Linked DNA regions of Drosophila melanogaster. The protein of the gene in region 1 purifies or fractionates together with the protein of each later gene. This does not show direct contact. Each region holds a gene or a part of one and is shown on either strand. Other genes may lie near its edges.

Region 1 (7,580 bases):
GCTTTTCAATGTCCACCTAGGCGAGATACGGGAAGAGGTGACACCGTTGGCGGGTCAAAGGTGAATAGAGCCGCTCCAAGTTCGAAATTGGTTCGTGTACCGGCGGTGGCGCAAGTCTTGCAAGTGTACATTTGCACGCCATGCCGGTTAGGCGCCCTAGCTGATTTCCATTAAGATGCTCTTTGTTTGCTTACGTTGTCAGTGGAAAATTTTTAGAACACATCGAGAAATGGGCCTGTACCTGCCTATAGACTTTGCAGTGCTAAGTCTAGACTAATCTTTGTTCGAGAGTCTGCTTTGAGTATAGTTACCAGCTTAGCTTAGTTGATTTGAGCTAACAAAGGGTTATAATATAACCCACTATCTTAACCAGATTGTATTGCATATATGACTGAATGACTCAGAATAGGAATTTTACTTTGATTTTAAGAAGACAGCAACTTTATATTTAAGTCAAAGGCGACATCGCTGGCATCGCAGCTGCGTGAGCCTCACATATGGGTTTCCCCAACATCGACCTTCGACCCCGTGACGTAAATCAGGCAGTGTCACTCACATATCACTCTCCTGTCACGACGGCATTTCGGCCTAGATAAACAAACGCACCACCCAAATGACATACGCCGCATATGTGGACTCCACATCGAATATGGAGTGCCATCCAAGGTCTGTGACATTGAACCAGCCAAAGGGGTCACACACACACTCATGCGAGGTGGGTGGGAATTGGTTACACATAACTTTCCGATTGCAGCGGAGTTCCATGGGAAATTGACTGACAGTTGGACGGTGCGACGTTTTGAATGTCAGTAGTCGCATTCCGGACGGAATCGCTTGCCCGTCAGCCGTGGAGCTCTACTAACTCCGGAAATAGACAATGGCATATTATTTACTCGGTTTTTGCTTTCACCTGCAACACTTGAAATAATTGGACACGCAGGTGTACGAAACTCGAGCTAAATTCAAATATGGGCTTTGTCTATGGGTCACCGAGTGGTAAGGTTACCCCTTTCTAGTGACAGTCGTGCAATTTCATTTGATTTTTATTTGCATTGACTCACATTTGTATAGTTGAAGTTTAAGTTTGCCAACAGACATATGGAAAATTCTAGCTATGGTTACAAAAATAAATCATTACCCGAATGTAAGGGCTTAAAAAGAATTAAGTTTAAATGTATGACCTATCCAAATTTCGAACAATATAACTTAATACCATATATATAGTATAATTAATAAGTCAACTAACAACGAACCTAATGGAATTTAGCGCCCTACCAAATAATTCCCACCACTCACCGTCCATCCGATTTTGTCGCCCCCGCAGAGGTACTCCATCTTTATGGGCAGGTCGCCGCGGTCAAAGTACATTCGGAAGAGGGTTCCTCGTCCCGGATCATTAGCCCCACCGGTGGAGCAGCCATTAAGACCCATGCCCAAGTTGAAGGTGGACATGGACTTTTGTTGGCGCCTCAGAACTGAAAATCAGTACAAATGCAAATGTGGGCAGGGATGTCATTAGGGAAACAAATACCGATGGGCGAAACACCCAAATAAACAAACTAACGCACTTTTCGGATTGGGCACCCGACTCCTGGCACTGGCTGTCTTGGGGGCGGTTTCGTGGATGGGTCCGTCGATGACGACCGTGTTCTTTTGCTGCGACTGAATGGAGAAGGGTGGAACGTAGCGCGGACGCGACGAGACCGCCGCTCCATGGATGCCGCTAAGTGGACGCAGTTGCGCCGGATTGGCGGACTTGGAGCGCGTCGGCCTGTGGTAGTCGTGCGTGGGACGCCTTGCCGTCGCGGTGCGTGCCGTTTGGGCCATGGCCATTTCCGGTTGATGCGACGATGTGCAGCCACGTAGTGTAAACAGCGAACTGCCGAGCGAAGGAATTTCTGTAGCCAGGCTGGCACTCCTGGTGTTGGCGTTGCTTTTGCTGTTGCTGTTGGGTGTCGTGTCGTTTCTATGGAGCACGTTGCTAAGGCCTGGGGCGGCTTAGTGACCGATAAGCCAGCAGTTGGAGCTAAAGCCGCTTGCTCGCATTCGCTGCGGTGCTCTCTTCCAGTCGCATTTGTTACAATAACAAGCCGGTTAGCCTTATAGGCGCCAGTTATGTTGTTATTATCATTCGACTATGCACTAACCAAAGTCCCCGGACTGCATGTAGATTTCCCAAGCACTTTTATTGGGCATTTCAGGTCAGCGAACTCATCGGAATGAAGGGGATCTGGGTTTTCTGGGGGCGCAACCGCAGATTAACAACGACAAATTGGCACAGCTCATGTCAATCATGCCAACATTTTATTCTATTTGATGAACAACAACAATCGATCCATAAAAGCAATTTAATTTTATATACAGAAGTAATAAATATTAAAACGTATTCAAAGTGAAACAAATTACCTAAACAACTTAATATTATAAATATTATATGTTAATCAGAATTTACTAAATCTTTTTAATCAAAGTACAAAGTAAATCGTCATAAATCTAATCAATAGCCATGAGAAAAACATAGAAATGCCATCATCAAGCAAAGATTTCAAAAAAGAGGTAAGCATGCGTGAGTTGTAAATTTAATTTTAACCTTATAATTCTGAGCCAATAAATTAAGTTTTAAAAAGCGCGCCAAGAGAACTTATCGATAAATGGCTAATTCTGCTATGCAGCACTGGTGCTTTGTTTACATTCTGCGGTGTTCGGCGTTTGTCTGGCAACGCCGCACCTGTTCTGTGCGGGTGGCGTGTTGCAAAGTGCCGAGGGCACTGAGAACTACTAGTGTTGGCTAGCGATCGAGTGCGAATAAAGAACAAAAGTGTGATATGTCGCTGTGAATAGCCAATTATCTGTGTTTTCTCGTGCTAAATCAGAAAATTTTTCGCAATGTCTGAGCCAGAGGTGACCAGCGTTGTAGATATGAAATCGCCCAACATATCCTCCTCCTGCTCCTTCTTCAAGCTGAAGAAGCTGTCGGAGGAGTCGCTTCTGCAGCCGCCGGAAAAGGTCTTCGACATTATGTACAAGCTGGGCGAGGGCAGCTATGGATCAGTCTACAAGGCAGTGCACAAGGAAAGCAGCTCCATTGTGGCCATCAAGCTGGTGCCGGTGGAGTCCGACCTGCACGAGATTATTAAGGAGATATCCATTATGCAACAATGCGACTCGCCGTATGTGGTGCGCTATTACGGCTCCTACTTCAAGCAGTATGACCTGTGGATCTGCATGGAGTACTGTGGCGCCGGCAGCGTCTCCGACATTATGCGTCTGCGCAAAAAGACGCTGACGGAGGACGAGATAGCCACTATTCTGTCGGACACTCTGCAGGGCTTGGTCTATCTGCATCTGCGTCGCAAGATCCATCGCGACATCAAGGCGGCCAACATCCTGCTCAATACCGAAGGCTATGCTAAGTTGGCCGATTTCGGAGTCGCTGGTCAGCTCACGGACACAATGGCCAAGAGAAACACTGTGATCGGAACGCCCTTCTGGATGGCCCCCGAGGTGATTGAGGAGATTGGCTACGACTGTGTGGCAGACATATGGTCATTGGGCATCACCGCCTTGGAAATGGCCGAGGGAAAGCCCCCATACGGTGAGATCCATCCCATGCGAGCCATCTTTATGATTCCGCAGAAGCCACCACCATCGTTCCGGGAACCGGATCGCTGGAGCACAGAGTTCATTGACTTCGTGAGCAAGTGCCTGGTAAAGGAGCCAGACGACCGGGCAACGGCCACTGAACTGCTGGAGCACGAGTTCATACGCAACGCCAAGCACCGATCGATCCTAAAGCCTATGCTTGAGGAGACCTGTGCCATTCGCGAGCAGCAACGCGCCAATCGCAGTTTTGGGGGCGTGTTGGCTGCTAGTCAGGCGAAGAGCTTGGCAACCCAGGAAAACGGAATGCAACAACACATCACGGACAACGCGTTTATGGAGGATCCAGGTACTCTGGTGCCGGAGAAGTTCGGTGAATACCAACAGAGCTCAGCCTCAGATGCCACCATGATAGCGCATGCAGAGCAAGGTGTGGATGAGGGCACTTTGGGGCCGGGTGGACTAAGGAACCTGTCCAAGGCAGCTGCTCCTGCAGCGGCCTCTTCGGCAGCATCTCCTCTGGACATGCCGGCAGTTGACAGCGGCACAATGGTGGAGCTGGAGTCGAACTTGGGTATGTAAATGATTTTGAAAGGGCTGGCCATTTGTTATTGTATTGTCTGTTATTCAGGCACTATGGTAATCAACTCCGATTCGGACGACTCCACAACGGCCAAAAACAACGACGACCAGAAGCCGCGAAACCGCTACAGGCCGCAGTTCCTGGAGCACTTCGATCGCAAAAATGCGGGAGATGGCCGTGGCGATGAAAAACCCATAGCCACAGAGTATTCTCCGGCAGCAGCGGAGCAGCAACAACAACAACAACAGCAGCAGCAACAACAACAGCAGGATGAACAGCATCTGGCAAGCGGGGCCAACGATTTGAACAACTGGGAGCACAACATGGAAATGCAGTTCCAGCAGATCTCCGCCATTAATCAGTATGGTCTGCAGCAGCACCAGCAGCAGCAGCAAGTTCTGATGGCTTATCCCCTGATGAACGAACAACTCATCGCGCTCAACAATCAACCGAATCTGCTGCTCAGCAACGCTGCGCCAATGGGACAGCAGGGAATACCGGCAGCGGCTCCAGCTCAACCGCCGCCCGCATATCAGAATCAGCATATGCATACGCAATCGCACGCCTATGTTGAGGGTGAGTTTGAGTTCCTCAAGTTCCTTACCTTCGACGATCTGAACCAGCGGCTGTGCAACATCGATCACGAAATGGAGCTGGAGATCGAACAGCTAAACAAGAAATACAATGCCAAGCGGCAGCCAATTGTTGACGCCATGAATGCAAAGCGCAAACGCCAGCAGAACATCAATAATAATCTGATTAAGATATAGGTAAAGCAACTCACAATTTCGCAAGACAACTGATTATGAAATCTCAACTCACTCAATTGCCTCTACATTGGGTTAAGTTTGCAGATGAATACTGAATCTTACAGACCCATCATCTGTATCCTCTAGAAATTATTCGTGCATTGTGCAAATTTAACCTGGTGGAAGGGTCTAAAATCAATCACAAGAAATGAAAACACAAAAGCTTTATTGTAAAATGCAGTGAAAACAGAAAAGAGGAGTCATCGGCAGTATCTTCCAGCACGAAAGCATATTTTCTGTTAGATTTCATCAAATTTATGCTTGGTTTCTTATATCCTAGCTTTCATTGATCTGTCTTTTAATATAAATAGGTATGCTCGAATAAAATTTATCTTGCGTTTATTGTAGCTGCCCGTATTGTGAACTGCCCAGGCCTTATCATAATTTAATAAGACTTATAATATTCGTTCTTCCTTGGTAACTATTAACCTTTATCTCTAAAACACTTATTTTCTGTCTTCGTGCGATAAAAACAGTAACCCGTCAAGCAATACTTATAAAGGAGAAACATTTTTATACGCATTGGAATGCATATTTTTCGAACATATATTTATCAAAGCAAAATGCACAGAAACACTCACATTTAAACATTTATATATACCTAGTACTTTTAGCAATTATAAATAATTTACATAATAAATATATAGGAATATATGAATCAAAAAATTGCATACAATATATAACTTATTCGAAAGATACTTAAGAAAATTTTGTAATAAGTAATGATATATGTAGACCAAGGAAACCTCCTTTTTATTTTAGTATGACTACTCTTGTATATCCATTTCCTGAGTTGCCTGCTGCATGTCGTGCAATTGTGCCCGCAAATCTTCGGGCAAAGTGTGCTCGTTCAAGGCACTAGGGTCTTCACCATCCACGACAATCTCCTCTGGATCTGGGGCTCGTGGCAAAAAGTCGGCATCTGGGAACATTTTGCCAAATATGTCGCGAGCATTGGCAATGGCCGCGTCATAATCCAGCTCGTAGGTAGGTGGATCGGTGTAGTAAATATGCTCGGCAGCGGGACTTTTACTAGACTGGGCAGCAATTGTGAAGTATGAGCTAAATATTATTTGTGCGTCTGATTGATCGAAGAGTTGGCTAGTGAAAATGGCTAGATCAGACGCTGGATCCTCGCTCAACGCTGGCGTGGTCAGATGGAAGATATCTGTAAAAATTAATTCATTAAAAAGGAATAATTCACATATTTTCTTAAGTTTCTTACATAAACCCTCGGGACAGGCTCCCGTGTAGTGCGACAGTTGTATTAGGAAGGCTTCCCGTCCACCTTCATTGTCAAGTAGTCGAAGAAGATTTACACCACCACCTCCCTTGTTCAGCTCCTCATTGCCCAGGGGACTGGACGATATGAACAAGCCACGTGAGATGTGCGGCTTCAACTCGATGCCCTTTGAAACTGGTGTATAGCCAGGGGCAGAGACCACATTCTTGGCACGCAAAGTTTTCCCTGCGCTGCTCAGCAGGAACTCATTCGAATTGGAATCTAAGGCAATGTCGTCAACGGCTCGCTTTAGGCAGTAAATGCCACCATAAACAGCGCACAAACGGCAGAAGCACTGCGGCAATTCCCCGCAGCCATACATGGGAAAGAGAAAGGGTGTGTTGCCATAGCGGCCCAGACTGCCCAGAAATCGTTGTGTGCGCTGCATACCCTCCTCGAAGCTGGTGCTGGGGCCGCACATGGCAATGGCCTGCATCACGCACGACGATATCTTTTCGGTCACCCGCTGCGCCTGCAAATATTCCAGAAACGTTCGTCCCCGGAATTCCAACGAGTCCTCGTTGCACTTGTCCTCGCCGTAATCGTTGCAGGCGGTGAGAAATTTCATCAGCAAGCGCTTTTCCACGATGGTCAGTGTTTTGGTGTTGAAGACATCGCTACGGGAGCAGGGCACGGACACAATTTCACCATTGTGGCGCATGCACACATGGTCCACGGCTCGGAATTCAGCATAGCGGCAGATGTTCGACTTGATGAGCAACTGCACCAGCTCCCCGGCTGCGTATAAAATGCGCGGGCATAGATCCAAGCTGAAGCGTCGCGACTTGGCCAGCACTGAGTCCCTATTCCAGGATTGTGCATCTGTTTCTGATTCTTTTTCCATGGAATGCCAGGTGTACCTTGCGTTTCGCAATGCAGAATGAGGCTCGACTTCCTGGTCCAAGCGGGCACATAGAGCATCCATAGAGAAGGAGCTCCAAACATCCCCGTAGTACTCATTACTATCCAGGTGGAGCACCGATTTGCCTATCCTGCTGCCCGCAGCGGCGATGCAGGACTCGGTGAAGCCTGAAAAGGGCGTCCCTCGAATGACTCATCTGTGGTTCTTTTCAAATCTTCTTAATTACCTGTGCCTATGACGACCAGGTCAAACTGCTCCGGCAGGTCATCCAACATGTTCTAAGCCTTATTTGCACTGATATTTAAACTATATTTACGGATAAATAAAGTATTCCGTGAATTTATTGCGAATTTACTTAAGCAGCTGTTTACAGATGCGCAGCTAGCGATGACGTCATCAACAAACAGCTGTTCATAGTATTGGCTAACGAAACAAAACGTTATA
Region 2 (7,576 bases), 4.6 Mb from region 1:
ATTTTGTGGGCAGCACTTGCACAACCCCTAATACCGCAGCTTTGTCTGAAGAGCAAATAACTATTTCAATTAATCCCTACCGAGCCAAGAGAACGTCGTAGAACGTACGTTTGCCCACGTACGTAGATGGGGCCAGCTTCTGCGGGTTCAACGCCCCAAGACAATTTACTAATGCAATTTACCCTCTTTTGCAGGTGGACAGCTCGCCGTGCGTCTTGGAAATATTGGACACCGCGGGCACAGAGCAATTCGCATCCATGAGAGATCTCTACATTAAAAATGGTCATGGTTTTATTGTAATGTATTCACTTACGAACCATCAAACATTTCAGGTATGAAAGCCACAAGTCCCTCCTGTGCGTTCATCATCGTGTTTGCTTTGTACTTTTTAACCCAAACTTGCTCTTGAGTACTCCAACTAATGCCAATTAATGGTCTCGCTTTGCTCCACAGGATATTTCTAGTATGAAAAATGTGATCACTCGAGTGAAAGGAAGTCAGCCAGCACCCATCCTACTAGTCGCGAACAAATTCGATTTAGATTGCCAAAGAGAGGTATCCACCGCTGAAGGTAGGCATCATCCATATCCCTCCCCAGACGAGACTGCTCTTATTTACGCCACTGTTTTCCTCGTCCTCACAGGTAATGCCTTGGCACAACTGTGGGACTGTCCATTTATCGAGGCATCTGCAAAGGATCGGATAAACGTAAACGAAGTATTCGCCACCATCGTTCGAGAGATGAATTTGACGCAAGAGAATCGGCAAAAAAAAAATTACTGTTGTTGTACGCTTTTATAGAAATTTTGTAAAATTGTAAGATTATTATAGTTAAAAATAAAATTACTAATATTTAATAGATAACGAAAACTTGGCGAATTTTTATTTTTCATTTCCTTGAAACAAAGCTGTGGTGAAAAACCCAAGTCCAACTCTTATCATCTATGAAAGCTGTTGAAAGAATTCAAACGATGACTAGCTTGACATCACGAAAATAAGTAATTCATGCTAAATTAGAAGAATATTTGCAAAAGTGACTCATGGGTAAGCATTGATAAAGAGCGAACGCGAACAGATTCGCAAGCGAATGACACCGATGAGCATGGATGTCTTTGGCTCCACGTAAAGCTGAATCTGCTGGGTCGGTCACAGATCGAACTCAATGAAGCTCATGAATCGCGTGCATTCTGGTCCAAATGCACGCCGCATTCTGGTTACTTGGTTACTTGGCTTGCACTTTACAATAGTCGGGGTATTCGGGTTTCGGCATGAGTCATCGCTGCTGACCACACCTTTCATCCACCTGAACTCTCTCTTCGGCGTTCGAAAGTCATCTGAATCAGATATCTTCTTTTCAATCAGTGCGTTCACTGATCGTCGGAAGCTTTAAAACCCAGAAACAAGGCGCCCAGTAATAATGATAAACACACAAATTCGTTTATGTAAAGAAATACTATAAAATTTGAAAAATATTTAATTTAGAATAATACAAAATATAAAACTTTTAGGTCTAATACAGATGTATACATTGAATTAATTAATTTTATACCATTCCAAATCGTCAGGTTTGTGGGAAGACGGCGGATTTACAATGGCCTGTGCGTCATTGAACAAGTTACTGCAAAGATTATCCTCAATCTGAAAGCGTAAAGTGGGCAAAGTGAGGTAGTGGCGTGGAACTCGGTTCGCCAACTCGGCGGTCGGCAACTGCGAATGCTTACCTGGAGGGAAGACACTAAGTTATCTGGGCAGTCGAGCACGCTAAGCCCAGATTCTGCAAAGATACACGGTAAGGGAAGGCGTTAAGTTAGTAAAGGCGAGGCATGGAGCGATAAGGAGTGTGGAGTGTTCGGCCTCTATCTCAAGATCAGTACTATACTATATAGTGAAAGCAGAGATGCCATGGGAATTACGTGATCGGCCCCCCGCCCACTGCGCACTCAATGTTATCTAGCGATATCGCTACGATATCTGTGTGTCTCGTTGTCTTACGCTAGTCGGGGTGGTGGAACGAGACTTACGCATTCTGGGATCATTCCATGAAGTCGTTCGATCAATGTGATTTATAAAGTAAAGATCTCCGGACTCGGTAACTGCCTGCTCCCAACCATCCGGCAGTGGACCCAAATTGTTAGCAATGGTCGATGTGGTAGTTTGTTTTGTAGTTTGCAAAACATCTATCGAACAAAAACAATGAATTACAAACCAAAGTAAATAAAAACAAATTAAAATATGTCTTCAACGTAATGCTGCAGTGTGTAAGCGGATGAGAACGGAGGGGCACTGGCGCCCAGCATGCAGCACATATCAAAATCAATTGGAGTATGCTCAAAGCAAATCCAATCGAGCTCCCACTTCCGAATGCCAAAATGATCAGACTCCAACCCAATCCCGAAAAGTGCATTGGCGCGCTCAAAATGGACGGAATGGACTCCCTGAAATCGGTTGTGTACTGTGCTGTTCATGCGTTAGTTGGAATGAGTTAGAGCCTATCTTATCCCTGCCTGGTCTCTAGCATTAATTAGTCCTCTGATGGCTGATTTAAGTGGGTTAACAATGAGACGCAGCCACAGGCAGTTAACGACTTGCTTATCTAAGGCATTACATCTAAGATAGAACCTACCATTCTGCTTTATTCGCTCGGCCATCAAGATTTGCTGCTGCTGGCGATATTGGATTCTGGGATCCTCCCACTGCGTAGATTTTGTAGTATGACTGCAAGTAGAGAGAACACCATTGTTGAGATTGCTGTTTTGGGTATTAGTTGAGCTAGTAATGATTAAGAGATAAACTTGAAAGACATCCAACGAAGCCAATGAGATTTCTGTGACTCACAAGAATATTTTAGTTTTCATAAGTTCATAAAGAAGACACGTATTAAATAAAGCTTCATGCATATCATTTTTAAAATCTGCCCAAACTCACTTCAAGTAGTAGATCTGGCCATCATTGGTCTTGGCTTGCTCCCATCCCGGCGGCAAGGCGCCTAGTTGGCGGTTCAACTGAATGGGGCTGATGACGTCGTAGGAGCGCTGCTTCTTGTGCACTGTCTGCATGGACATGGGAATGTCCTGCGACATGCAGGTGTTCATGGCGTCCAGATCAATGGCCGAGCTGGCCGGGGCGCCGCTGGGGAACTCTTGGGCACTGTTCTCTGGGAAAGTGGGCCCAGCGGGCTGCTGTTGGCTGCTCGGATTGGCATTCGGATTGTTGGCTGCTGCTGCGTCGCTCCGGGCGCGCACATTGTAGTTCTGCTGCAGCGAGGCGGGGCTGCTGCGGGCTCGGGAGTGATGTATCGCCAGGCGGCTGTGCTGGGGAGACGGCTGAATCTGGAGCTGGGGGATGGCGGCGATGGGCGACTGGCCATCTGGCTGCTGGACGATGGACGCCTTGTTCCCGATGTTGATGCTCGACTGGGAGCCCGCGTCGTAGGTGGAGTCGGCGCTGTTGGCCCGCGAGTGCGAGGGCGCCGGGGGCGTGAAGAAGGAGTTGGGCAGCTTCCGCATGCGCAGGGGCAGCTGCAGCGGGCGCTTGGCGTCACCCGGATTCAGGACGCTGTCGAATAGCGCCTGCAGGTTGTCGTCCGTGTCCTGGTTGACCCGCACCACCAGGTTGTTGGACTTGATCGGCGAAAGCATGTCCTCGTCGTCGATCTCCTTCTCGATCAGGCTGTTTGTATTGCTGCTGGCTGACATCGTCGTTAACATATAAAAGGCACTTATTGTATACAAACGAAAACTACATAGAATTATCTTAGCGATTAGGCACGCGCACATATATGTTCTTCCATATACGTATCACTCCATCGCGCTGCGCGAAACTATAACATTAAGGTGTTAAAAACTAAACTTCGTTGCAATAAATAATAGTAATAATAATAATTACGGAACTGCCAACATAAAATAAATTTATCCCAGTGTTGCCAGATGGCTATCCCCGTCCACTTGTCCATTCCGATACTAGCGTTCCTCATGTAATCGGCTTCGTGGCTGCACCTGCGGAATGCCAGGGGTATTCCGCAAGCCGATTACGACTTTTGTCGATTTCCTTTAGCTATAGCTAAAGATTTATTCTATATTTTGTAATTAATAAGGCACAAAACAAAGTAGATATTAAATTATGGTGTGTGTATAGCCCACACACTTGTGTTCCATAATATCAGACTATAAATTATTAGACTAACAATTATTATTTATTGGTTTATAACATTTTGTTTAGTGAAAATAAGTACAGGCAAAGGTCTGTCAAAAACACACCCAATAACAATATAAACTGATTGTAAATGTGCCTTGTTGATTTAAGTAATAAGTGCAGGTAAAGGTCTGTCAAAAACACATACCCAATAACAATATAATCTGAATGTAAATGTGCCTTTTTGTTTTCAGTGCACGTTCATTCAACCCTTTTCAAAACGATTGGCAGTGGAACAAGAAGCCGTTCCGTCTCCTGCCCGACCGGAATCGTCCCCTTTCCGTTTGTTCCCCGTAGAGATGAGCGCGGGCCAGGTCTGTGAGCACGAGACAGGTTTTTGACACAGTCAAGGTCCATCGCTAGTTCGGTCTACAGCAAAAAGTATTTTAACATTGTATATATTGGCACGACACAATTCGGAGGCATTTTTCGCTTAACAATAACTAATGTCGCATGACACAAATGTAAAATGATCGCCGTGCTGTTGGACATATTCTGGATCCCCATCGGGGGCTTCCTCTCATTTCTCATATTTATTTCCGCCATAAACAAATCAATCGGCGTCCGAAAAGCGTACGTGAACCTCCTCCTAAGGATATTCGAGGTAAATATTGCTTGCTTTCGTTCCTCAGATGAGTAAGCACCGATTTGAGGTGCTCCACTGCTGCGGTGGCTTTGCAAATGGTGCTGTCTTACCAATAGTTAAGCTATTCCAAAGTCCATAAATATAGTCAGCTTTTGGAGTACGCCATACTACGTCTGCCCTACGCAATTACTGCAATGCAGGCGAGTTCGAGAAACTATTGCTTGCCCGGAAGCTTTAAGTAGATTCTTCGGCTATCCTCAAGGAATCTGCGGGGCAGGAGTGCGCCAGTGCACCCAAGTTGCCGCTTCCCAGACACTTGTAAAGTGCCAGTCATTACCTCGTCCGACGATATGCTTGCGATAATCTTATCTGCAGATAATCCCCGATTCGACTCGTTAACAACTAATCACCTCTACTTTCAGTATGGTCGAGTTAGTATAGAGACAGCATCCAAAGAAAACCAACACATTCAAAATCCCAAGACTGACGACAAACAGGGAGTGCAACTAGTGGACGACGCCGATTCCAAAGAAGGCACCAATGGAGCCACATTGATTACCAGGGACGCGGTACTCCTGCCCCAGCCACAGGAGCCCGCTCCAGAGAAGCCAGTTTCCTCCACAAAGGTAAGGAGTCCGGCATTGCAATGGGCACCTGATTTAAACAACATTTCCCATTTGCAGGATGAAATCAATTTCGATTTTGAGAAATGCCTGGACTACGTAAAGTCTGGCGTGGAGGCCATCATCGAGGACGATGTTACGTCGCGCTTCGAGGCGGAGGAGCTCAAGAGCTGGAACATGCTGACACGCACCAATAGGCACTACGAGTTCATTTCCTGGAAAATCACCTCCATCTGGGTGTTCGGCTTCTTCATCCGCTACGTCATCCTGATGCCCCTCCGGGTATTGGTATGCTTCGTTGGTGTGAGTACATTCGGTTCATTTAGTGGCTTTTCCACAACTACCCGATCGTCCCGATTCCCATGCATGCTACAAATTATCCCAAAGGATACGCTTAAGTAATGTATTCCGCTTTAGACTGGAGAACAGCATCATGCATAGGGATTGGGCTGTCGAGTAGTTATCTTACAGTGTGAAAGGAAAGTGACTCAACGGACAATAACTGGTTAAACTTTACCCATTAGTAGATAAAAAGCGTTTTCCTCAATCGATTACATTTCAGCTTAGAGCTAGCTACCTTTTGATCTCTTTAGAGAAATAAGTTTAGTAGAGTATCGGACGACCCGACCCCCAAATGCGCGTTTGTTATCGAAATTGCTTGCACTAACGTTTACTGGAAGTTAATACAGATACGTCGCAGTACCGCGAACTTGTGATTAACAAAGTTTTCGTTGAAAATTTTTTAATTTACCCATAATTTACCACCATTTATTTGTGTTGTGCGCGTTTTTTAATTTACTTCTCTAATAAAAACTATTTAATTCCTAGGTTTTATTTGCAGTTTTATCAAGCTCCATTGTGGCTTGTTTACCTTTTCGATTTGTACGGCTTTCTCTAGCGAGCTTGTCATTCAAAATTACGTTCCGCCTTATTTCAAGTTCTATGTCCTCCTTTATCAAGTTCCACAATAAGCAATATAAGCCCACAGTCTCTGGGTTCTGTGTAGCCAACCACACCTCTCCCTTGGATGTGGCTATATTATCGACCGATTGTACCTACTCTTTGGTGAGAAAGAAATTTTATCTTAAATTCGTCACACAAACTGGTTTCATTTAAGTTAAAATGCATGCATGTAACACCCGAAATCGCACATTTTGTAACCCGTACTTGTACCTAAACATACTAAATCCTGACGCTCTAACATATCGGTTCGATCATTTTATCCCAGTAAGAGAAACTCGACTTTTGGGCTTCAGACTTTGGCTAGCAGCCCGGTAACCGCCGATAAATTGTCCAATGGCTTTATTGGTTTCCATTCGTCCAAACTTATCAAAGAGTTCCCATGTGTACGCCTTGGCAGATAGCCATTATCTCTGTGTACATGGAGTTTAGACCCGACGCATATGAACATACCTACAGGCATCGATAAGTTTCAACCGCCTTGCCGACATGAATTACTTCATACTATTCATATTACCTGATAAGTCGGAACTGTTCCGAGTTTGGGCAGAAAGTCGATTCGAGAATGCATGCATGAATTTGACGGAGGTGCACTTTTCCATGTGGTCCTAAGTTTATGTTGCAGTACTTTTGCTTTTGTTTCGTCCCCGCCTAATGTCCTTTGTCCTTTGCAATCTACGAGTGGTTTGCTGATTTCAGCTTATTCGTTTGCCGTGCGAGTATCTAAGTACACGAATCAGGTAAGATAAGTGCCGTGGGTATGGTATCCATTTGTTTATTACTCGGTTTATGGCCCCCACGGTGCCCTCTATTACGTGTGAAGATTAGTGTCAGCTCTTTTCGTGGTTTCCCCGTTGAATTTTGTTTGCGGAGTGTGAGCCTAGACCTAAAATTGTAATGATGACCATTAGATTAAGCCTAGGCTACTATGTAGGAAATTCCAGTGTAAATCCAACGAAGCCAATTGGCTAACATAACGCCTAGAAGACGACGAGTGGAGATGAGTCCTGGTGATTTTAAAAAAGAAGAACTTGAAGCTCTATGTAACTGAACTCCCTCACTGTTCCCATTCTCGTTTTGTGCAATCTTAGGTAGTGTGGTTAACAGTCTGCACGGCTGCAGTGGGATACTTGAAGGATGGGCCCTTCAAGCGGGATCTCGTGCACAAGGTGCTCGGCATGTGCTTCGGCGTTTTGTCCAGCGCTATATCGGCGGT
Region 3 (10,452 bases), on another chromosome or scaffold:
TGTCTGCAGACGAGTTCGTAAGCCACAATAATTGAGCTAACTAAGTACTAAATCACCTGTATTAAGTGCTACTTGTTAAATTTGGCATCCCAAATATTTTCGCCCTCAAAGACCTCGATCCAAATAGAATTTCCCACAGTTGCTACATACCCTTTCAACACGCTTCAAGTGCCGAGTGCACAAAAAACGACTGAAAATTTAAATATATACATATATACAGAAAAACTGGCTGAGTCTGAGACGCAAATCGTTGGGGATTTATCAGCCAAAGGGAATGGCAGCCGAAACAACAACAATAATAGCGATGAAAAAGAAGAACAAGCTGGAGAGTTGGGAAAACTTTTTGTATATGGCCAAGTTTGATGCTGAGTTGAGTTAACAACGTTACGTTAACTCCTCGGCTCCCCAAACTTTTTGGGTATTTAGCGGCAATCGATTTTCGTTGATTTTTCGCCAGCCCCCCTGCCACGGAAAAAGAGGCAATCTCGCCATCGGATCTGTGGGCCAGCCACCCACCCACCTAGTAATTTTCCCAGGGAACGTGTGAGTTGCAGGCCTGACCTTTCAACCTTTTTCACAGAGCCCGCACGTGGCCGTAGAAACGGAGTATTCAGTCCCAAATATTTCACAGAGGCATCATCATCATCAACCGGAGCGGGAATGGCAACTCATCATCATCATTGTAGTCTGCAAAGTTTATTTAGGCAAAGCGCTTCACTTTTGGCTACACTCTTCAATTTTATGGCAACAAATTTGCATCGTAAAAGCTACGCCAACCGCCCCCCCCCCCCCTGCAAATCCAACCACCAAACATACTAGCCCCGAAATTATCCACCCGAAAAAGCGCCCACACACAGACGATAAAAATACAAAACGTTTGTTTAGGCTCGCCCTCTCTTTCTGTCCCTCGGAAAAATCAGTCGTAAACTAAGGACAAAATCGTAAAAACGGAGCAGTTCATTTAAATTTTTAATATTTAGGCTACCTTCAGTGGCAGCATACCCCACATTCCCCCCCATTCCATTCCGACCGTAACCTTAACCGTATCCATCATACCGATTCACTTACTTTTGTTTTATGATCCGAACATTTTCGACCATCATCTGTGAGCAAGAGTCAGAATACACTTAACAAATCTGCGGATTACTGCTGCTATAAAATCAGTGGATTTCTCGAAATCTTTGTACCTGATATAGTATGCAATGCTACCTTACTATTCAATTTAAATATTATATTTCCAATATTAAGTTATTATGATACCAAATATTTGCCAAGTGTTTTAAGGGGCCAACCCAAAACGAGTATCTTTCATCGTTTTGAATTTATGCCTTTAATTAAATACAAAATCTACCTAGGATTCATCTTGCTGGGCAACTTTTCTGTGGCATTCCTTTACTTAATAACAGGCCATCAAATAGAGTTGTATTTCTGTGGGTTATATTCATGCCGAGCATCCTCACCCGCCACGCCCCCTTGCGCCTCCTTGAACACGCACTCAGGATTTATTTCCACATTTATATGAGACTGCGGGGGGTGCGGTGCGGTGCGTTGGGTTACTGGAGAGGGTATGTAAATTTTTCAGTAAAAATTCACTTCGTGATAATGGATTTTCCATGTCGCATACGCCGCAGTCGTCGTCGACGTCGCTGCCTGCACGACAAATACAATCTGCTCCAGGGCCTCCAACTGAACCCCCCCCCCTCCACGCTCCCCTCTTTTACAACTGAAAATCCAGCCCCAACTCCATGGCCTCTCCACAGCAGCCAGGGCGACAATTACCTCCCCCCAGCATCCTGTGGAGCTCCTGTTCTGGTTTCGGGTTTGTTGGGGCATGATAGATGACAAGTCTCGGTAGGTGTACGTATGGGTATGGTTGTTTGCTCGCCAAGTTCTTGGGCACTTGAGAGTCCCCATCCTCGATCCAGCATGTTCTCAAATTTAGATTTTCATCCAGACCAAAACTCATGTGGATACAGTGCCAACTGGCGGTGCACGAACTGCTTATCTCAGAATAATCCATATATTCTAGGGTTTCTACTATTGCCAAATGTTTATTATTTATATATCGTTTACTTTCTTGCTCTTAATATACTTTTCATTCGTATGCTAAAGTTAAATAACCAACTAAATTATCAGGAACATCAAATCCAATCGAAATAGTTTCCAAAATACTTTGTAAACAGAAACAATAGAGAGCGACCACTGTACATGACTTTTGACAGTTCGTGTGGGCGGCTGCTAAAATATGCAAAAATTTATACAAAGTTGGCAAGATTTTTGCTTTCGCTTTCGCTGGGAATCAAAGGCAGCCCGGCTCTGATTTAGATTTTGACTTGGGCATCATTGGTTGGCTGGCACCACGACCTCCGTCCCTTCTATCTGCCCTCTGCCATCCATCCATATATCACCTCCCCCACACCCATATCGCCTCCTTTGTGGTCTCAATTAGGTGGCCCGTTTGAGGCTCGACTTCCGCTCGTCGTGGTGGCCTCGTGTTAACTTGGCCATGTTCGCATACACACTACCAAAGGAGCCCGCAGGCCAAAAGGGAGCGTCATTGCCAGAACGAAAAACCAAAATCGTTCGCATGGGTCTCTCTTAAAGGACTTTCTCCCTTGAACGCGCGCTCTTCGATGGCTCTCTTCGTCGGCAGGTGGGAATTGTTTGTTTGTTTTTTTTTTCTTTCTTTTATTATTATTAAAGTTACATATGAACTTAATTGATAATGAATTTTTTTTAATCATTTTTCTTTGCTTTTTTGTTTGTTTTTTAATAGTTTTATTCGCTTTTTTTTATTTAATTTTAATCAGTAATATTAAATTTGTTGTATTTCCTTATTTTCTTTTTTATAATTTTTGTTTTTATATAAATCGCTGGCCCGCCCCGCGCTTCCCCCATCGCAATGGCGTTCGCTGCTGCTCCTGCCACATACTGCTCCTACTTTTTTGCTGCTGCTTCATCGTTATCTTCCTGCTTTGTCGGTCGTGGGTCGTCTGCTTCTGCTTCTGCTGCTGCTACCGCTGCTGCTTGCTTATGCTGCTACGTCCTGGCGTTCGTCCTTTCGTCCCGTTTAGTCCTTTGTCAGCCCCTTCCGCCCACACACACATCACGTCATAATCCATGAGTCCATCCATCCATCACTCCTGCTCCCTGGCTTTCTGCTGCGACGCTTAGTTCGTTATTTTTATAAATTAACAAATTTAGCTAAGTAGTTGTAGTTCTTCTTGTTGCTTGCGGTTTTGTTGCTTGGTTTCTGGGTTGGTTGGTAGGTTCGATTGGATTGTATCATTTCTGTATACTGCTTCTCCTTCTGCTCCTCCCCTTTATCTTTGATATAAATTTTCTGCCTGCCGCCCCCGCTGGCGACATTTCCGGTTTTTTCCTTTTCTTTTAAACTGTGGCCAACAACAATAACTGTTCAATGCATTTTTGTGTTCTCGACTGTTATGGTTACTTTTTTTTTCTTTGTTTATACAATATCTCTTCCACTGCTCTCTGTTTAAAACGACCTCCACAAAACAAATGCATCGAGGTTTTTAGTTTTGGGTTGTTTTTTATGGTAGTTTTTTTTTCGACAGCACTTGCCATTTTGTTTATTTTGTTGCTGCTGGTTGGATTTGTATATATTATATATTGTTTCGGTTCTTCTTGTTGTTATAATGCGATGTAATATGTGTAAATGTAAGCTGCGTAGGTGCGAGCAATCCAGCTTAAAGGAAATAATCGGGTGTTCTTCGCGTAACATGAGGCTCCCCGCGCCTGGGTGCTGGATCAAATTGTAGGCTAAAATAAATGCAAACGATTAGATTAGTCAGACATGCCGCATTTAAAGGCAGCTCAAGCGAATTGCCACTCACAATGAAAATTTAAGTGAATCATCCAGTTCCATAAGAGCCGCTTGGTTGCCACAGCGGTAGCAATAGTTTGGCGCTGAGAATATTGTGACCACATTGCGATCGTGACACCAGTTGTAGCCCTCCATCACCAGCTGATGGGCGCGCGACACCAGTGTCAGGCCGTTTGTGTTGTTAAAGGTTTCCGAAATATCCTTCAAATAAAATGGAAATATTAGTAAAAATGCTTATAGAAGTAATTGGCTCTTTCTCAATGAAATTCGATTTGGATAGTTAAAATTTGTTTTGTAGTTGACGGTTTGAAATGTCAAAACAATTTATAACGAAAGCTCTTTCCATTGATTGCGTTATCAGTTGGGCCTATATCAGCAGTAGACTTCGATTACTGATTATTGATTTTCATCAAGTGCATGCCCCGATAAAATTTCCTATTAAGATCAATAAAAAATTTATCTAGAATATATTTGCATGCTTTTGAGCAGACAATTTTTGTTCAGCTTAGTTTTAATCGGGTCTTCAGATGTATTTCACTTAACAATTTTACAATGTGATTAAAGAATAAATTTCCAAGTATCCAAGCTAGGCAAATCAGCTCCGAATTTTATTGAGAAATAGCCAACATGCAGACAACACTCACCTGGCCAAAGGTGTAACCGGCGCCACGAGGCGAGATTCCCCAGCCACCCCTGTCATCGGGATCGGACCAGAGCAGATCGCACATGGGACCCTCGTGCGGAACCTCCTGCAAGCGATCGAGGGCCCGAATGTGATCCAGACTGTCGATCGAGGGACTGAGGCCTCCGTGCAGGCAGAAGATCTGCCCGTCGACGAGTGCCGTCAGTGGCAAGTAGTCGAACAGATCCGTGAAGTACTTCCAAACGTTGGCATTGCCATACTTGCGCAGGCACTCGTCGTAGAAGCCGTACACCTGTGTGATCTGGCGCGACTCGTGGTTACCGCGCAGGATGGTGATGCGCTCGCGATAGCGAACCTTCAGGGCCACCAGAAGGGTCACGGTCTCCACGGAGTAGTATCCACGGTCCACGTAGTCGCCCATGAACAGGTAGTTGGTGTCCGGAGACTTGCCGCCTATCCGGAAGAGCTCCATGAGGTCGTGAAACTGACCGTGGACATCTCCGCACACTGTCACCGGGCATTTTACCTCCTGCACATTGGACTCCTTGGAGAGAATCTCCTTGGCCTGTAAAGAAATGGAAACAGTAGACCAATCAGCAATTTATTTATGGATATTTTTAGGGAGATACGTTTTAATGTTACCTCCCTATTCGAATAACCGAATAAACAACTTTGAATACCAATATTAAAATACTGATTAACATAATCTAGCCCAAATCGTTTCCAGGGTCAGAAAAGATAAATAAAACGATTAGTACTTTGTACATTATTCACTATACTTAATGACTCAACGCCAACACTCAAAGTGTACTCTAAAAATAGCTTGTAACTAGAAGAGAAATTAAAACAAATATATTGGATAAGTGCATGCGTTTTTTTACAGAGAATCGAGGGAAATAAATATCACTTGTTCTCTTTAAACATCCCACAAGAAATTTTAATGGCATCAAAACTCAATCTCTTGGGTAATTCTGAAAATAGCTTCCCGCAAAACCCTATAAAACTGTGTACCTAAACATTGCTACTTCCTATAAGAAAAACATAAACATGTAGCAAAATTTCCGGAAATTACAAAACATTTTTGTTACGTTTGTGTGTAAATAGTTAACCAAATGAAAGTAATATGGAAACTTTGATGTTCTATTTTTTCACCTGCCATAATTCGGTGAATGGTGAATGACATGACAGAATATCTGCGAAACAGAAAGTACTGAGAAAACCGAAAGTGATCCGCATGTGCGGATGATAAAACCTTGTCAAAGGCCAAGGTTATCCGTCAAGATTTGGTCAACAAGCGAAGAACCTCAACTATTTTCTCATCGAATTTTGCGTCAGTTGCAAACAAGTTTAAGTTGCTAATATAAGCTGTATGAAAATCAAAACAAAGGAAGCAAAGCTTTTTAATAAGTTGAGATAAGATGAACGTACGATAAAAAGTTGTCCGTATAAACATAACAAATTCACGATTCTGGAAAGTATTCTATCGTCTTTAGTAAAATAAAATATGAAGGTCGATTCAAAAATTCCCGATGGGCGTCAATATACAGCATCAAAAAAACCGGTTTTTACAAACATAAATGTGCCAAAATGAGCAAACAAAAATTGCACATTTATTTTGACCATTCCGCCGTGTTCTTTGCGAATTCTTATATTTATCAGCTGACGAAATGGGACATGACAACAAGTTCCGGGGGTAGAATCCGGCGGCGCAAATGAGCGATTTGTGCGTGAGCCAATTAGATTTTTTGCCATATGCACAGCATTACCTTGGAGGCTGTTGCTTCCGCTTGGCCAGAAATCGAAAAAAAAAAAAAAAGAAAAATAATTTTTGAACTCATGACGAGGCCAGCGCACCCATACAGATGCATGCACAAACACTGATGCAGCTTGTGCTCTCTCCGCGTACTCTCCGCTTTTCTTTTCGTAGCAACGGGAAGGATGGAGAGAGGCCGCAGAAGACGCACCCGAGAAGAGCGAAGAACGTTCTTCTCGGAGGGAGAACGGAGATTCAAGATTCTAATGGGAACACTGACAAATATTTGGGTGACGCAAACATAACCCCACTTACTCCTAAATCAATGAATCGTTATCTGTTCACCCTCTCTTTTTCTCTCCCTCTCTTGCACTCTTTTTGCTTGTCTGTTTGTTTGTGTGCGCGACGCGCCTGATGAACGGTAAAATCGGCAAATTAAAAACAATTGATATCAAAAGTGTTTAATTGAACATGGTTGGTCATAAAAAAAGGAACACAAACACCAATGCAAGTGCATTATTCTAGAATTGAGATACGACGGTACATAGATACATATTCTAGGGGCGCGCACACACCGACGCACAAAAACATTAAGTAATATTTACTCAGCAACGACAAAACGCGCATGAGGTTGCACGGAGCGGGGGTGCTCAGTTTCCGGTGGACACAATAACAACAACATTAAACACGCACAATGCACTTTAGTTAAACAATCAAATTGTACAATAATACAAAAAGAAATATCTCTTTTTGCCCAGGTTTAGCCCATTAGACCAAAGCGCTGTTCTAGCTGTCGCATTCACGCACGCACTTGCCCGTCCCGTTGTCCCGCTCGCACTTGTGCGCGGCAATGCGGCGCTTGGCTGTTGGAATTTACCAATATTCCAATATGGCGACGCAAGCCGCCGCTACTGTGCGAGCAAGAGGGCACGACATGAATCATGCTCTCGCGCTCTCCGCTCAGCGCCTCTCCCCATTGGAAAGAGCGAGAGGGCCAGAGACACGCAGCGTTGGAGCACCATTTGCAAAAAAAAATCGCTCGCTCGCATGCAATGACGAAAATTATTTTTATAACATCTCCTAATTCGCATGGGGAAAATGGGCAAGGACCGGGCCTTACCTTGTCGCAGAGGGTGCGAACTTGTGTCTCTGTCAACTGATTGCATTCGTTCAACTGCTCAATCCATTGATCAAGATCTTTTGTTGTTGCTTTATCCTCCATCGCAGTTGTGGTGGAAGAAAAAGTCTCGTCAATCTTTGTCGATTCAATTTTGACGGCTTTTATTATAACTCAGGGGTGCAGGAAAATTAGCAACTACTGTTGCGTTCGATTGCCAACCGCGTATTCACTCGTTTATCTCCACACAATTGCCAATCGAATCAACTCGATTTGGGCGATTTTCTTCGTATTTTTTGTTCACAAAAGAGACGACGACACGATATACGAAGGGAAAGACTGCCCTCGGTGTGACCGATTGCCGCGAAACGCTTAAGAACGCGCTGTGTGTGTGTGTATCGATTAGCGATGCATGCTTGACATTTCTACAAAAATACCGACTAAAACTTGTGGATGGTATCCTTACTATTTGGCCAACAGTTACCAAGTAAAACTAGAAAATAAAGTGGGATCAACGCTCACCGTTTTTTTTACATTATTACGTGATAGTGACAAAATAAAAGTATGTACATAGGCATTTGGGCAACAAGATATTGGGATTGTTTTAAAATCCTTTAGTAGTCTTTTCATAGATGTGCATTAGCGTCGATTATTTCTTAAATAATAGCACAATTTGTTTTAAAACTAAACTTCAATATTTCTGGGGTTCTTTAGATATAATAATATTAATACTTGGTGTAAAAGTATTTATTTTTTTTATATATATTTTAAAGTTTTTGATATTATTATTTGACGTTACATTTTACACGTATTATTTGTAACAGAAAATTCAAACTATCGATAGTTTTGTCCTGTCCAACACTGAACGCTCGCTGACAGTTGGCATCTTAGCGAGCACTGGAACCGGAACTGCCTCTTTTTCTGCCAGCTTGCAGCGCCTTTGGACGTGTTTCCTTCGCGCTCCGTAGCAAATAATATAAACTCAAGATGTCCGAGACCCTGCAATTGCGCGGTACCCTCATTGGCCACAATGGATGGGTCACCCAGATCGCCACCAACCCCAAGGATCCCGACACCATAATTTCGGCCTCCCGTGGTAAGTAATCGCCATTGAAATTCTTCGGATTTATCTGGTAGCACGTGCGTATATTAATGGCCACCATCTCGATTCGCAGACAAGACCCTGATCGTGTGGAAGCTGACCCGCGACGAGGACACCAACTACGGCTACCCCCAGAAGCGTCTCTACGGACACTCGCACTTCATCAGCGACGTGGTGCTCTCCTCCGATGGCAACTACGCCCTGTCCGGATCCTGGGATCAGACCCTTCGCCTGTGGGATTTGGCCGCCGGCAAGACCACCCGTCGCTTCGAGGGACACACTAAGGTGGGATAAGATTCCAATTGCATTTAGTTCGTTTAGGGAACTGAGATTTTGAACCGATCTGTACCGGCAAAAGGCTAAATGTAAGGTTAGGAGTGAGGTTAGGCCCGCCTTTGCCGCGTACAAATCGAAAAAATATATATTGCGCCTATGCGAGGCAGAATTACTGGTTGACATCTGTACGACGTACGCTTCACCCTTCGCTCGAGTCTCGGCTATAAATTGCTTGAAGCTCCATCGTAAGTAGGCAAACAATCTCTGATACCCATTGATTCCTAATTAGTTGCAAGAAACCCATCTGGATTCCGTTCACTGACTAATTGAGTTGGGACTATGCCCATTCAGTTGGTCAGTGAAATATCCAGTAAATATATTATTTTTATGAAAACCATACCAATACCATTAGCTAATCGTCAAATGCTTGTTCGCTTTCTAGGACGTTTTGTCGGTTGCCTTCTCGGCCGATAACCGTCAGATCGTGTCCGGCTCTCGGGACAAGACCATCAAGCTGTGGAACACCCTGGCTGAGTGCAAGTTCACCATCCAGGAGGATGGCCACACCGACTGGGTGTCGTGCGTGCGCTTCTCGCCCAACCACTCCAACCCGATCATCGTGTCCTGCGGCTGGGATCGCACCGTCAAGGTCTGGAACTTGGCTAACTGCAAGTTGAAGAACAACCACCACGGCCACAACGGCTACCTGAACACGGTGACCGTCTCGCCCGATGGCTCCCTGTGCACCTCAGGTGGCAAGGACTCCAAGGCCCTGCTGTGGGACCTCAATGACGGCAAGAACCTGTACACTCTGGAGCACAACGACATCATCAACGCCCTGTGCTTCTCGCCCAACCGCTACTGGCTGTGCGTGGCCTACGGACCCTCGATCAAGATCTGGGATCTGGCATGCAAGAAGACCGTTGAGGAGCTGCGCCCCGAGGTCGTTTCGCCCACGTCGAAGGCCGATCAGCCCCAGTGCCTGTCCCTGGCCTGGTCCACCGACGGCCAGACTCTGTTCGCCGGCTACTCCGACAACACCATCCGCGTCTGGCAGGTGTCTGTTTCGGCTCACTAAGCTACTGACCTTTGTAACGGGCGTCAAATTTGTTTAGCTAAAACAAAAATAAAATTTAAGCGTCCTTAACTGAAATTTGTGTATCTTGTAGCGGCTGAATTAGTTTTAACTTTAGGCTTTGGGCTATAGAGTTTTCTCCGGATAGATGGGAATAGTATAAACAGTGGGACAATTTAGTTTAGGCAGAAGATAAGTAAATGTTAATAAAGAAAACATTTTATATAAACTTTAATCGAAAGTGGATGTTTTTAATCCCTAAACTACAAACCAGATCATTTCATTGAAATCCAAAACGAATAATGTTGAGAAAAACAATTAGAAATTGAATTTAAGTAGCAAAACGAAATGTTCTCGTTTCGTATGCATTGTTTTATTCGTAAAAACATTTCGACATTTAGAAAATGTTTTCTTTTACACGTATAACAAATAAATTAAATAAATAGTTACGTGATGATGTTACCCTGACTGAGTCAGTGACTGTGATGATTTTCGTGTGCGAATTGGAAAAACGGAGTGCACGGCAATGTGGCGGCGGATGCAAACATATTTTGTTTAAACAAAACAACATTGACTAACAAACAACCTTAATATTAAGACAAATGATGAACGCATTTTCGAGTGATGAATGTGTATGCA
Region 4 (7,100 bases), on another chromosome or scaffold:
CTTTTAAATTTACATTTGCTATTTCTATGTACTTTTCGCACGATCCCAATACCCAATTGACTGCGCAAGTCTGTGGAATTTCTGGCACTAAGCCAAATCGACAAAAGAATTTTGTACACGTTCATCAAATACTTAAACATTTACATTTCGTTATCATTCACTTGGCCATTGGTTCTAAATTGAATAGCTGCCTGGTTTGATGGCTATTGTCAACGTGAGTTGGAAGTGCAGATGTAGATCAATGCCTTCGATTAATTAACTATCCCTCATTGGAAGACAGATATATTAACTCTGAGAAACAAAAAATGAAACTGATTTAAAAATTAACTTACTAAAAAAAGGAAATCAGCAAGTCGATTTAACATACATATGTATGTATATCTTGGAATTTATTCTATTTTTAAAAAGAGGTGATAATATGCATTCTTATATTCGCATTGATACACATATACAAATATTAACTTTAACTATAATTATAAAAATGTTTAAAATCTGGATTTAAATGTAACCATTGCTAAGAATACTTAAAAAATGATAAGTAACTTACTAGTTACTAGTACTATGATTGAAGAAAAAACTCCTAACAACAAAAGCTTCACATCCTTAAACTTTGACTTTTCTAATTCAATTTCAAATCATCCTTCATATCTGTCACTTCAGTCAGGCATAAACAATCGAATGGAAATGGTAAATATAAACAATAACAAATATGTATCCATCTATTTGAGTATTTTTAGAGCGATCTATGAGTAGAAAGAGAGCGAGATAAGCTGGCACAGGTGGAAGCTAGTTGCGCAGGCGATTTTCCGCCGCTTGCGCATGTTTTTTGTTCTTTTGGCGAAAATGGCGAAACTCAAACGAAAGAGCGCGATGCGAAGAGAAAGGCGAAGAGAAAGCGCGGAGCTTTCACCACTCCTTTCTCTGTGCGCTCTGCTGCTGCGATGATTGCAAATCCCTAGTGCGTTTATAAATAATTACCAGCGTTTTAACCTATTTTCATCTAAGGCGCTCTGTTTTTCGTCGGCGCTGGCACTTGCAAAATGTGTGACTTAATTTAGAACGCAGTGGACTTACACGAAATACTTCCGCATTTAGAATAATTTGCGGCTGGACGACGGGGAATGGGGCCAGCCTCTTGGATGTGGAAGTGGATGTGGATGTTGATGGTTGCGTAACCGTCGGGATTCAGTGCGTTTCGACACGGATTATACAGCAGTTTGGAGCATTGGTGTACATATGTAGATTCTTACAGGGATTGGAATCCCCAAAGCCTTTCGTTCACTTTCGATCACACACACACAAACACTCGGTTGCTGCTTGGTTGATTTAATTTTGGAATATTCACTTTATACAAAACATTTACGGCCACAGAAATTGGCTGTGTTTTATAAATAGCATAGTTTTCTTCTTGCTAAATGGCAGCGCACTTCCCATAAATCTACCCAGACGATTTTCAAATGCAAGACTCTCCGGAAATATCGTTAGATTTGGATCAATAGCTTATTATTAGAGGGATATATCTTTATATCAACCATGCGATCCAGGCAGTTTTCAATTTTTCACCCGATTCACATTCATGTACAAAGGCCAAGCACGTATGTGCCTATATATTTATATAGCTTTAATATAACCGTCGATTGCCCGAGCACTCGAAATACTTATATAGATGGCTGCCATGCGAACCGGGCGCAGTTCCTTGGCACTTTTTTTTCGGCTGCGAACGCGTTGAAAATCGACGAGAAACTAAATTTAAATTATTTCTGAAAGCTTCAACTACCTACCAGTCGTGCGAGAAAAGTGTTTTCCTCAAGAGAACCGATATTTTGGCGCAGAGAATCGATGAGAGCGATTCGAAAATTATTCAAAAATATTCAAGTCCAAGCCAATTGAAAGTTTCAGCCATAAATCTTTACGGGTATCCATATAATATTACTTTTACACTTCAGGTTCCATATTTATCAAAATTACAAAAATGTATTTGATAGAATTAAAGAAAAAAAACACTGTAACTAATAATAATAATAATTACTTCAATAATATCTATTCAAAAAATTGGTTTTCCTAATTTTCCATATTGATTAATAACCAAATTAAACTTAAACAATACAATAATGAAATTATTTAAAATTTTTTAAACCCCAATATTTTGCCTTTGGAATCTTAAGCTTCTAAAATTATAGTTATTACTGCTGTTTTTTTTTCTCATGGCAGATTCTGTTCAACTTGGTTCATTGTGTAATAAGTTGACTTTTTGAAAATTAACATGACTATATCATAAATCTTCTGCTCGATAACCATTGATAACCATTGTGGCAAATGTTAATTTTAGTGGCTATACTTTATTCATATTTAAACTCCACACAAGTATGTGTGTATATCAAGTTCTGATCAGCCTTACTCGATAAGCAATGAGTCATATCCAATGAATTATTTAACCGCTTCTCTGTTTGGCTGGGATTTAGAATGGCCAAATTTAAAAAGCCTTCTAACAAAAATATTCAAATTCATGGGAGGGGCGCATAATAGATGGGATTCTACTCGTAACATCTTTTGGGAAATAACTTAAGAATTAGTTAGCTTACGGAGTAGCAATCTAAAGCAAAGTTACATCTTATTTAAATACACTACTGAAATACATTTGTATGTTAAATTAAATATGCTCATTCCTTTGGTTATTCCCCGATTTGTATTGGAATTTATTTAGCAAACCATAAAATCGACAGGGTACATTGTACATTACATTTGTGTGGGTGTGAGTGTGTTTACCTCGTTTTAAATAATAAACTTCATTGTTCTCAATGCGTATGGACAATATGTTGAAATTCGTATTATGTATAAATTACTTAGAGATTATCAATCGCTAAGAGCTAATGCAGGTTATGTGGGCCCTCTTCGTGCGCGGCCTGTTTTGTGAGTGGGTGAGTAAATACGATTCAAATGAAGACCAAACGAATCAACAACGTTGCACAGCAGCACCTATCATGTTGCGGGCGCTACTGTCGCCTGATCCTCGACAGATTCGTTAGACGTCGTCGCTGGCGGCGGTGCACTGGTTGTGTTGACTGCAGGTCCGTTATTGTTATCATTCGCCAGCGGCTCTTCCCCCGGCGGCGCCGTCTCCAATGTCACACTTGGTGCTTGTGTTTCACTTTGACTATGCACTGGTGCAGTGTTAAATGAGTTCGTGGTGCCGGCGACTTTAGCCGGTTGCTCCGGACTGCTGTACATCTGGATAACCGAGTTGTTGTTCATGTTTTCCACCGAGGCGCCCGATATGGACAGATCGTCGGCGGAGTCGTCCGCCGTACTGTCCGTTTGCACAGCCTTCTCCTCCAGCAGGTGGTCGCTCTCACGAATCGGTCGCTGCGAGGAGCCGTACTGCTTGGAGATTTGCAGCAGCTCGCGCAGCGTTTCGTTCTCCAGACGCAGCTGGGATATGGTCTGCAGCTCTCGCTGCACGACACCGTCATCTACACTTGCAGCTAGCTGCATCACTGCTGCCATTTCGTTGATCTTCTCGCGCTGCTCCCGGATCACCTGCCACATGCGTTCGTTGTACAGCTCCTTAAAGCTAAACTTGCTATCCAGGACCTTGGAGACGGTGTGCTCGCGATACTTTTGCATCATCAGCTCCATGGCACGCTCGTAGTCCTCAATGAAGATCTTTAGCTCGCGATTCTCTTTGAGTATCTCCGAGCTGTTGATGTTTTGCTGCTGAATGCGATTCACCATGTCCGCGTTGGTCTTGTTGTTCGAAATGCGGTTGAGTGATTCAATGTCGTCCTGATACTGGCGAAGGCTCTCCACCAGCCGATTGTTGTTCTCCGCCTCCTCGAGCAGCGCCGTGCCCAGGGCGTCCAGGTCCTTCACCCGACTGGCCATGCGCTGCGCATCCATTATAATCTGGCCCACGGATAGGTTCGACATCCTGCCCAATTCAGTCCAGTTGCGATTTTTGGATTTGTATTGTTTTCGGGGGCCAGGCCCTCTGCTGCTGGCACTGCGAAAACAAAGGGAACCGCTTAAATTTGTGCACTTTCTGGGGCCTACGAGCAGTGTCTTACGTTCGGTGCGGGTAAGGTGCAGCTTCGTCCCTAGCGTAACAGCTTCATTTGATTTTCCGGCCAAAATATGTAGGAATAGAAACGATTTTAATAGAAATTTTGACGACGACCCAATTATTGGCTGACAGCTTATTAAATCCCAAACGCCATCGGATGTTGCACAAATCCCTAACGCCACTCATTGAATGCGAAAAAATACTGTTTCAACACTTGATATACCGCAAATATACCAAAGATTTAAATTATAATTTTGTTTTTTAACTTTTAGCTTGAGATGTCATTTTTTTGGCTAAATCCTTTATGTTTATGTTAAAAAACTCTTTTAAGGTTAAAAGGTGAAGCTACAAGCTTTATTGTCATTTTTGTATAGGTCATTAAGAAGCTATCAGTACAGATTTTGATCTTATCGCGAAAAATGGAAGACTTAGCGTAGAATGGACATAATGCTATGTTCTTAAACGATCATGCATACATAAATCTAGTTATGTCTATTTAAGTACCTATTTAAGTACAAACAGCAAAGGTTTTGTCATTCAAAGTGGTAGATAAAACAGAGGTAGAGGAATAGCATGGTACATCGGGCGTAGGGATGCACAGACTAAAGATCACGAGATTGCGATTACACGCCAACGCTGTTGAGGCTGCCGGAGGAGAGGTTCTCGGAGCGACTGGACAGACGGGGGCGTTTCATGAGTACACGACCCGGCTTGCCGGGATTTTCGATGGAACCCGCCTCTGCGGATTGATTTAGATTGTTGTTGTTGCCGTTGTTGGAGCCATTGCTGCCGCCAGCACGTTCCAGCGTGCGTTGTGAGCGACGCAGCGAGGAGGAGGACATCCTGCGCAGCGTGGGATCGTAGTCATAGCTCGACGGCCGCTGATAATAGGGCGCATCCTGGTCTGTGTCATTCTTCTCCTCCAGCGCCTGCTGCTGCTGCTGGGCGAGTGGATTCAAGGTTATGTGGATGTGTCGTGTTCGCTGGCGCTGCTTGGTGGGCGAGCAGTTGCCCAGCGGCACAAAGTCATCTCTCAGCTCCGCCATCCGTGGCTTGTTTGGATTGTTTCCCCGGCTTCTGGAATTCCTACGCCGGCAAACACAGAAACAGGTGCTAATCAGAAGCAGAATGAGCACTGCCCCGCCGCCGATTGTTCCCGTCAGCATGGGACTCATATTGAATGTCTCGTTATGACTGGGAGTTGTTGTATCGCGGTCGCCCATTTGCAGTGTTGGCTCCTCTGTGGTGCTGGTTTTGGGACGTTGGGTGCGCCCCTGCTTAAGGGCACTAAATTCGGATGCAGAGGCGGCACTGAAGGACTGCAACTTGAACTCGTACATGGTGGCCGTCTCGAGGGGTGCTATTTTAAAGCTTCTAGCATGGGCTCCTTCAATGGTTGCCTTGAAATATTCCCCTGCCGAGGACGAGGGTCGATAGTAGGCGTAGTAGCCAGTGATCAGGTGTTCATCCGCATCGCTGGCTAGACTCCAGTGCAGCACCACAGCGGTTTCAGAGTATTCCTCGATCTCCAGAAGCTCTGGCACCGGCATCGGATCAAGTGCTGCACCTGGCTGCAGGTAAAATTTCGCCGAGGTATTACTTTCCTTATTGTCATTGTTGGAGTAAACGGCTAGGATGCGGAAACGATAGGTGTGCTGAGGCTTCAGGTCCGTCACCGAAGCCGTGAAGCTCTTGCCCAGCTCGGAGTTCCACTTCGGTTTTCCATACGGTATATTATCGTTGGTTGTCTGCCAGTTCTTGCGCTTGCCAACCATGCGGTACTGAACCTTAAAAATGACAATTGGTAACCCATCGTTTCGGGGCACCATCCAGCGCAACATTACGGATTCATCGCTAAGTCGGGTTACATTTGGAGGAGTCGGTGGATACATCTGCTTCTGCCTGGAACCCTGATTGGGCTTGGGCCTGTGTGTACCCCCCGATTCCCGGGGTTCCTGAATCTGCTTGGGATTCACCTGCAGCAGTGTACCCGCACTGTGCTCACCAAGTCTGTTTCGTGCAAAGCATTGGACATAGCCCGCATGACGCTTCAAGACGCTGTGCAATATCAGGAAATTATTGGAGAGCTCAGCCTCAGAATCATCGATGCTGCTGTGACCGTTCAGCAGCCAGTAGATCTCTGGCGTTGGCACTCCTGTGGCCTTACACTCCAACTTCAAACGATCGCCCTCGTTGGTAAGATCGGCCCAGGGTGGTCGCACAATCTGAGGCGGCTGCTCGACATGCACTTTTATGTAGTGTTCTAACGCAGGCCGCACTCCATTATCTTGAAAGCAAATATAGGTGCCAGCATCATTAACTCGGGTGTTGGATATCTCCAAAGCGTGTCCAAATACTTTCGAACGCTTGTTCTTAACAGCTCCCACGACATCGGGACTGCTCCAGACAACCGTCGGTGGCGGTGAGCCAACTCCAGGACACAGCAGCAACAGCGAACTCCCTTCGCGTATGGTAATTTCTTGGGAGCTCGGCTGTCCCCTGAGCAAGTGTGGAGATTTACTCTCCGACCTCTGCTCTGGTGTAACCTGTAGTTGCAGCGAGCCGGGCAGCTGAATTCTCTCGCCAGAGGCAGGATTGGTTGCCTGGCAGGAATAGCTGCCTGACGACTCGGAGGATACATTGCTTAGAAAAAGATTTCCATTGGTTCCGATGAACTCCGGTTTGATTTCCACTCCGTTTCGATAGTAGGACCAACTGGCAGATGGATTCGATTGCACCTGTTGTCCGCAGGACCAGAGCACAGAGTTTCCAGCAGACACCCGCCATTGGAGGGGTGATTCCGATTCCTGAGCGTCCACCAGGCTAGTGCTGGCCAGCTCCAATCGAGCAATGGTAGACGTGACCACCAGCGGACCGAACCAGCCAACGCATCGGTACTCGCCTAGAGTGTCTGGTCGGACGAGCACCCTCAGTCGCGAGATGGCCGCCTCCTGGGAGACATTCGCTTTGGCCGTGCCTGTCTTAAGGTACTTGAACCCCGCTCCCGGAGATCTGCTGGACCGGTGGCTCCATTCGAAGC

Evidence for each region.
Region 2: the proteins of hpo (region 1) and yki purify together in Drosophila melanogaster (affinity purification with western blotting; 2 studies listed by BioGRID, with this or other methods). This does not show direct contact.
Region 3: the proteins of hpo (region 1) and mts purify together in Drosophila melanogaster (affinity purification with western blotting; 3 studies listed by BioGRID, with this or other methods). This does not show direct contact.
Region 4: the proteins of hpo (region 1) and Fgop2 purify together in Drosophila melanogaster (affinity purification with western blotting; 2 studies listed by BioGRID, with this or other methods). This does not show direct contact.

Annotation. Positions count from the first base shown.
Region 1 is NT_033778.4:19,492,055-19,499,634, reverse strand, and holds hpo (hippo), read left to right. Parts: upstream 1-2,778; 5' UTR 2,779-2,886; coding exon 2,887-4,174; intron 4,175-4,231; coding exon 4,232-4,953; 3' UTR 4,954-5,639; downstream 5,640-7,580. Other genes in the region: CG15120 (uncharacterized protein), read right to left, coding at 1-16, 1,297-1,475, 1,569-1,833; Rep (Rab escort protein), read right to left, coding at 5,760-6,160, 6,218-7,303, 7,363-7,411. UniProt on the Drosophila melanogaster protein: Plays a key role in the Hippo/SWH (Sav/Wts/Hpo) signaling pathway, a signaling pathway that plays a pivotal role in organ size control and tumor suppression by restricting proliferation and promoting apoptosis.
Region 2 is NT_033778.4:24,064,540-24,072,115, forward strand, and holds yki (yorkie), read right to left. Parts: upstream 3,947-7,576; 5' UTR 3,777-3,946; coding exon 2,926-3,776; intron 2,716-2,925; coding exon 2,624-2,715; intron 2,178-2,623; coding exon 2,022-2,177; intron 1,775-2,021; coding exon 1,722-1,774; intron 1,639-1,721; coding exon 1,534-1,638; 3' UTR 1,436-1,533; downstream 1-1,435. Other genes in the region: Rap2l (Ras-associated protein 2-like), read left to right, coding at 195-332, 454-571, 644-801; Gpat4 (Glycerol-3-phosphate acyltransferase 4), read left to right, coding at 4,661-4,795, 5,200-5,403, 5,461-5,703, 6,229-6,465, 7,452-7,576. UniProt on the Drosophila melanogaster protein: Transcriptional coactivator which is the critical downstream regulatory target in the Hippo/SWH (Sav/Wts/Hpo) signaling pathway that plays a pivotal role in organ size control and tumor suppression by restricting proliferation and promoting apoptosis.
Region 3 is NT_033779.5:7,825,065-7,835,516, reverse strand, and holds mts (microtubule star), read right to left. Parts: upstream 7,868-10,452; 5' UTR 7,466-7,867; coding exon 7,364-7,465; intron 5,056-7,363; coding exon 4,492-5,055; intron 4,049-4,491; coding exon 3,858-4,048; intron 3,784-3,857; coding exon 3,711-3,783; 3' UTR 1,941-3,710; downstream 1-1,940. Other genes in the region: Rack1 (receptor of activated protein kinase C 1), read left to right, coding at 8,348-8,456, 8,536-8,747, 9,181-9,816.
Region 4 is NT_033779.5:6,941,070-6,948,169, forward strand, and holds Fgop2 (fibroblast growth factor receptor 1 oncogene partner 2), read right to left. Parts: upstream 4,221-7,100; 5' UTR 4,065-4,220; intron 4,001-4,064; 5' UTR 3,928-4,000; coding exon 2,980-3,927; 3' UTR 2,109-2,979; downstream 1-2,108. Other genes in the region: ihog (interference hedgehog), read right to left, coding at 4,684-7,100.